Lytechinus pictus: one gene and its partner. The protein of the gene in region 1 interacts with the protein of each later gene in a pairwise test. Links are inferred from orthologs where the notes say so. Each region holds a gene or a part of one and is shown on either strand. Other genes may lie near its edges. The genes, in order: axin-1-like and glycogen synthase kinase-3 beta-like.

Region 1 (3,937 bases):
AGATAGATAGATAGATAGATAGATAGATAGATAGATAGATAGAGATAGATATAGATAGATATAGATAGATAGATAGGTAGGTTGGTATAGATAGATATAGGTAGGTAGGTAGACAGATAGATAGATAGATCGACAGACAGATAGATAGATAGATAGATAGATAGAGATAGATAGATAGATAGATAGATAGATAAAAAGATAGATAGATAGATAGATATAGATAGATAGATAGATAGATAGATAGATAGATAGATAGATAGACAGACAGACATAGATAGAGATAGAGATAGAGATAGAGATAGAGATAGAGATAGATAGATAGATAGATAGATAGATAGATAGATAGATAGATAGATAGATAGATAGATAGATAGATAGATAGATAGATAGATAGATAGATAGATAGATAGATAGATAGATAGATAGATAGATAGATAGATAGATAGATAGATAGATAGATAGATAGATAGATAGATAGATAGATAGGTAGGTAGGTAGGTTGGTTGGTATAGATAGATAGAAAGATAGATAGATGGGGAGGGAAAGGGAGAGAAAGACAGGCAGACAGATAGAAAGAGGAAGCGAGAAGAGGATGAATATTGATAGATCTGAGGGGAAGGAGAATAGAGGGGAAGATGTGAAGAGATGAACAATAGAAGCAGAACGTTGAATGCTGCGGTATATATGGAGGCGATACGTTGAATTGGCAGGGCTTCGTGTCGGCATAGATCACAGAGAGTCGGCTTATTTTTATTGCTCGCGATAAATCATTAACACCCGTAAAGAGCGGAGTAATGAAGGCGGTATTCTCGCTTCGGTATCCCCGCACTAACAGTTCCGCGGTTCAACTTATTGTACATCCCCAGTATCCCCCCTCCCTGTAATATTCATGCCATCGTTTGTGATAGACGATTCGCCTTCCGACTTCATTCCTGCTTATTCATTGGCTTAGGAGGAGAACAGCGATCTAGAGATTCTATTTCTTTCTTCAAAAATTAATCGTCTGAGAATTATTTGTAAGAAACAAATTATTTACTATAGACCTACCGGTCGAGTATATGAATCTGAACACAGGAATTGAACATCTATAGCTAGACGGTAGACCCTTTATGTCACCGTTTTAAATGAGTCAGTGACGAAATCAGGTAAAGTCATATTAACCAAATATGTTGTTTCCTTTTGCCACCGGTATACCTCGTTGTTTCTGGCGATTTATTTTTGTTAATGATAGTTTAATATTTTGATTTATTAAAATATAGGACCATTATTTTTTGCTTGATCGACTTCCCTTGAAAAAAAGTGGCGAAATGAGAAGAAAAAGAAAAGAAAAAAGAGAGGCCAGACGTGGCATATTTTCCAAACAATATATGAGCGTGCCAATCGAGTGATTTTTTTTTAACTTTTTAATAAAAAAATCTTAATTTATGATTGAAAGGTGATGTATTTTCTTTCACCTACCCCCCCCCCCCCGTATCACACCCGTATACCAGTGCTTGAAATACTTGCGGATAGGCTATTGCATTTATTGTTAAACCTCATTTAATTGGTATATAATTTGTGGTACACTCAAATGATTGTATTGTTCACGACTGCTATATATATGCTATATATATGCTATATATATTTCATTATGTAGGCATATATCTATAAATTAGGCTATTTGGCCTAGAGGAAGAGAGCGGTGACTTTTGAGGTTTTCCCATAAATTCAACACTTTTTTCAAACATTGTTTCTCTTAAAACATCATGAAGTCACCCCATTGAAAAAATTATCTTTATACCAAGAGACCTATATATGCTATGGATATTTTTGTTATTTTGATTTTTTTTATTAAATTTATTCATTCATTTATTTATCTATTTTTATTTCCACTCATGGATTGAACGCTCTTATTATCTAAATGATGTTCTTTTAAAAGTGTTGTAATTGTTAATATCGGTGTCGATTCCAGCTTAAAAAATGAAGCTTCGTTCCATTTTTGGTGAAGGGAGGGAGGGTGTGTCGATGCGCAGGGACTTCTAAAATCCTCTTATTGCAAATTTCCAGAAAAAATGCCGTAAGATAAATACTCTCTTTTCAACTTGAAAAAATAAATAGAGTCTTTGTGATAAGTTTAGTTGCTTTCCTTGCTTGCTAATATGCTTTAAATAGTGTAAGGACTACCTTTTCAAAGAAAGAAACTAAAGAAAATTCTCCATAGAGCCTTTTTTTTAGTCATATATCTTGACCAACTGGTGATGGGGAAAGGACCCCAAATGTTTGTGATTATGATAATGTCTGAATATTTGAAAATGTTTGCCTGTTTTATCGCTATCGTATAATTTCAGAAATGTCAAGTATATCTATATTGGGCCTCATTTTATTTTGCTTCAGCATAATATAGGCCACATGAATATGTCAGAAACTTGATTACAAATGATGTTATCCCCCCTTTTAATATTCATATTTGGTATTCCTGTATACCACACTTATCACAATCACAATTGAATGCCAAGAGTCATAGAATGAACGCCCTGTAAATTCCAGGCGAGGAATAAAGCCAGGAGAGTCCAGGTTGTAAAAATAAAATACAAATAAAAAACGACGGCGAGTCATCACAATTGTAGCCAGTGAATTTTTACTGCCTGAATAAATCTCGACTGTGCATTTATACGACGCCGCTCTCCTAGTTTTCATTGTAAATAAAAGCGATGGACCATGTCATCAGTGCAGGAAGGAAGGCCAGGGAAAGAAACAAAATTAAGAACCAAACTTAATTTAATTTCAACAGACTTTTTACAAGAGGGTGACGGTATTTTGAAACCTCTAATCCAAACTATTTTAAAGGGATGTCATGATGTTTGTTGAATATACGAGAAGAGATATTCCTAGATGTATGATGTATTAGAACACTGATAAAATCCCATGCATCCGTGTAAATCAACATTTCTGCCAGGTTCAGAGATAAAGAAGGAAAAGAGCCAGGGTTAGGAGAAGAAAAATCTAATCATTTCTCACGCTACAATGACAGTGTGACCTGTTATGTTACAAGAGCAAACTTTTAGACTTTTAGATGAGTTTTGTCTTCTATTGAAGTTTTATTACGATAGTTTGCCTGTTCAGCCGATACAGTTTATCACATCGCTATTTATCTTATTGGAGTTTTCTGTGTTGCGTAACGCAACGTGCTTTGAATATTATCTATACCTTATCTATTTACGATTTGGTGAACACCCCTCTATTTCCTAGTGGAAGTGGTCCAGGCAACTTAATGAATTGCATTCTGATTGGTGCGGCTTGTCGTTTGTGTGTACGTCACTGCCCTTTGGGAGCTTTTCGGGCGGCGGGCATGTGCTTTGATGTTTCATGCACTTTGCAACACTGAGAACTTCCTAGGCCCTGTTTGTGTGTGTACGTGTGTGTGTATGCAGCATGAGCATCCAAAGTGACTTGCCATTTTATGCCCAGTTTCGCCATGCCTAGCGTACGAACGGTTTGCTTGCATCGAATCTGATCAGCGGTGAACATAATATTTCATTCCAATGATTAGAAGGTAAGGAAAGTGTGCAAGTTTAATCATATTGAGGAATTTTAGGCTAAAACTCAAAATTACCTTTTCATTTCCTTTAAATATCGTGTAACGATATGTTGCATCAAAACACGTTTAACTTGGAGTTGGATTGGACGGTCCGGCATGCACCACACATCGCACTCCCGTCCCGTGGCTTTCTCGGGGCGCTTATTTGGACCATGGATGCATAGAGCGAGACTACGTTACGCTGGCTCCATCTGCATGGCCGTTGGCGTTACTTTCTGTAGCTGAAGTCTGGACCATAATTCAAGAAAACTCTGCCCAAACTGGATTTCACGGATATCTACTATCTTGGATTATCACACAAGTGGATCATAAATAAAGCGTAAACAGAATTTGAGAATAACTGGTAAAACAGTGAGGTTC
Region 2 (3,937 bases), on another chromosome or scaffold:
CCATGTGTATCTTGTCAATGAAAGGTCATCTATTATTTTCTATGTGCTGGAGCTTAAAATGGGACAGCTTCCAGCCAAAAATCAATAAAGGAGGGGGTAAAACAGTTATACCCCTTTAGGGATTGTCATAGAGGGGTGCTGTGACAATGGGCAAGGCTTTTGTTTACAATGGGCTATTGTTGTCAAGGGGGATTCCTTGAATGTATTGCATGGATGAGCACATGCTGTGAATGGAGGTAGAAAGCACAATAATGCAATGTACAAAATGTACATGCACATACATGTACATGTAGGATGTCCCATGCATTATTTAAAATAGACCCAAATTTTGGTGGATACATGTACTGACTACAAAAATGGGAATTTTACATCCCGAACTCTTGCAAATTATTGCTCAATAGGAATTAAGATACTGTAGCCTACACGTACATTACATGTCATAACAAATTTTTATGCTAATTTTGATATGCAAAATGAATTTATGCTTATTTGTCAAAATTCACATAAAATAATTCTTCTTGTTGACTGATTTTGATTTTTTTTTCTTCCATCTGGTAGAGCTTTATGAGGTTCACCAAACTTCTACACTGAATTTTGAAATTTTAAGTAGTTTGAACATTGTTTACAGTAATTTATGCAAAATTTATTCATAATCACAAAAAACGCTTATTTGTTGACAAATTTTGCTTTTTTTATCCATCTGGTAGAGTGTACATGTACATGAGGGTCATTAAACCTCCACAATTTATTCAGAAATCACAAAAAAATGCATTTTCTCTTTCGTTTGTTGATAAATTTCAATTTTGTTTGCTTTTAAAATGGTAGCTCTATGTGGGATACAAAACTTCTACACAGAATTTTGAAACTCATTTAATATGCTAATTTATGCATATTTTTCAAATCTCACAAAAATGTTCATTTGTTGACTGATTTTTTTTTATCCGAGAGCTACATGAGGTTCACCAAGGTTCTTTCTACATAGAATTTAGACATTTTGACTCAAAAAATATTAATCCTAATGTATAATATGAAAATTATTCAAAAATCACAAAAATGGCTTCTCTATTTCTTCATCAAATTCAATTCTGTTTCCTCAATTTACGTCACCAATATAATTCACTACAGTATCAACTGGGCTGAAATTAAAACTTGTGTTATATTTTGCTGCAAGATGCCAGATGAGCACCACGTCATTGATGTGCTAGTTATAATTTATGTCTGCAATTGATAGGGATCTCTTTTTTTTTCCTGCATAAGAGGTGGTTTTTTTTTATTACACAGAAGTGTGCAAGCAAGTTCATTGTTACCAGTACATGTGTACTGCACTTTGTTTTATTACACATCAGCATCATGCAAATAATTAGACTGTAGCCTACTATGTACATGTACTTATGTACATTAATTTAATACATTGAAGGTATGCAGTCAGGAATGTGAATTACACGTATGCTTGTTCATGAAAGGAAGGTGCATTCTTTTCCCTTTTTCTTGATCATGTAACAAGCATGTCAGGTATGCCACCATATTGACAGCTGGTTAGCTGAATGAATCATTGAACTAGGGCATTCATCCTCAAATTGGCAACCATCCCAATGCTCAAGTACATGTATGTACACACAGATTTGCTCATACTGTACTCACACACACACACACACAAACTCTATGTACATGTACACAGATGCATGTTGGTGCTCAGTGTAATCAACATATTACATGGATGTGTCTGTGTGTATTGCGCAGGCCCTGCAAGTGTTCACATGCTCTGCTGCTAATCACAAAAGCTTGTGTACATTTCGGGATCAGTTCAGACTTCACATCCAAGTCAGGGACACCGAGCTCTTCCTTTCATTGTCCATTCCTTGCGCAATCAAAACAAACCGCATTGTGCATTGTCTGAAAAAAAGGACACTCCATTTGGGAAGTCCATCATTCTGACGGAGATCCGTGGAGGGTCTGTTTTGACAGGAGGGATTGCAGCTACTATTGATTTGTTTCAAACTGCTGCAGTTGCACTTGGATGTTTGAAAACTTTGGAATTTTACCAGGAGAGGTTTGTGTGATTTGCACAGCTGAGCATCTACACGCGCTGGGTAGGACGAGCAACGCAGGGTGTTGAGTTACAGTGTTTACAATCAAGAAGTCAACACTTCTGCCTTTCAAATCTCACTGCTCTTGAGATTAAATTATTTCATTGCAAGACTCATACTAATAAATATGCAAGAAGTGATGCTCATGATTATGGATGATTGAATCTGACTTTTTTTTTTTTTACAATAGAATCAAATTTGTGCTATTTGAAAGGGGAGGACTACGACTACTATGATGGTATTCTTGAGTTGAAACCTGTTGGAGATCTGAATTTTCAGAATAATTTTTTTTTTGAAATCTTCCCCTATCCTACAGTCGCTAGATTCCAAGACCTTCACAAGAAGTGGATCATTCCAATTTGTGTATCAGCCTGATCGCATATGAGTATGGAAATCTTGAGAGTAATTATCCTGTGATCTGTATTAAAATTGATTCCTGCCAATTTTTTATTACATGTACATCTTGATGTGATCCTGCATGCTTTTACAAGCTTTCCAGATTTGTTCAAAAAAACATTTTTGATAACTTCTGCAGTTTAATACTCCAAGAGAATATTGAATTTCTTGCAAGGATAGTGGATCCTTACTAAATTGGATTCCTTGCTGTCTTTGACACAGCATTTCTTTTGGATGATACTTTGTGCTTTGATGTTTGAGGACATTTTGCCCCTTCTGCAGAGATTTCACAATGTGCACTGTGGAGCGCCCAGCAAGCGGGGAGTGGTCGACACATCGTCGACCGGTATCGTCGGCCTACAGCAAAATCGTCACACCACGCATTTCATCAACAAAAATCTTGCCTCCTACTTCCACTTCAAAATCAATGAGTATGTGCTTAAAAAAATATTACTAGTCAATATTTCCGATGTAGCCTAGGAATTCATAATGAAGAGAGACAAAATGTGTTTTTTATTGGGGGGGGGGGGGCAATTTAATTGATACTGGAAAGTCACACAGCGCAAGAGGCGATTATACTGGAGCAGCGCAATTCTTAATATGCACATGTCCGATAGGATATCACAATTTTAATAGTGATAATCATACAGTATTCAAATTGCACAGTCTGAGCTATTAAAAATCATAGGTGTATCGTTTGGTTGGGGTGTGAATTTTTGCATTTTGTGAGAGCAGGAATAGTTATGATTATGAATTCTCTGTACAGCTTTGATACATTTTGCATCACGGTATTGATAATAAATAGGGAATTGTTGATTACAAACCTAGGGGCACCAAGGCATTTCCAATTCTGATGTTCAAGTGAAGCCTTCAGTATGACCTGGGGGTTATTGATGCTTTCATAATGGATTTCTTTAGGGGGGGGGGCAGGGGCATTGCTCTCATGTAATATTGATTGGCCTATATTATATATATTTATTTTACAAAAAATCAAGTGGTTTACTGTACACTTTTTTAACATTATTTTCCCCTTTTTTTAGTTCAAAATACAAAATAACTGAACTTAGGAATAAAAATGTGAAACAAATATGTTGGAGGATTGACAGATTTTATCGCTTTATGCGAACAAGAACAAGATCGAGCTGGCACCCCTGTGCCTCAATGAAACCATAACTAGAGGAAATGCCATATGATTCAGCCTATTACGGACCGATCATCCCCTCACAGCAAAAAGGTTGATAAATCCTGCATTTCTATAAGCACTTATGCCCTTGTAGCTTTTGACAGATAGTATCATGTGTAATGCATGTGCTTGTCACTCTGAATATTCTTATCGTGATTTAAATCTTCTTTCTCTGTCACTGTATCCTTTGTATACCTACACGCAAGTATAGGGGCATATCAAGGTTTCAGAGGGAGGACGGGTGGGGGAGGGGCTCTTGTAGGGTGGGGTG

What was found.
Region 2: the proteins of axin-1-like (region 1) and glycogen synthase kinase-3 beta-like interact in a two-hybrid assay, tested with the Drosophila melanogaster proteins (2 studies listed by BioGRID, with this or other methods). The link is inferred for Lytechinus pictus from reciprocal best matches to the Drosophila melanogaster genes Axn and sgg.

Annotation. Positions count from the first base shown.
Region 1 is NC_087254.1:17,714,544-17,718,480, forward strand, and holds the start of axin-1-like, read left to right. Parts: upstream 1-779; 5' UTR 780-1,145; intron 1,146-3,296; exon of another isoform or gene 3,297-3,532; intron 3,533-3,677; exon of another isoform or gene 3,678-3,937.
Region 2 is NC_087252.1:13,175,510-13,179,446, forward strand, and holds the start of glycogen synthase kinase-3 beta-like, read left to right. Parts: upstream 1-1,616; 5' UTR 1,617-2,090; intron 2,091-2,403; 5' UTR 2,404-2,775; coding exon 2,776-2,914; intron 2,915-3,937.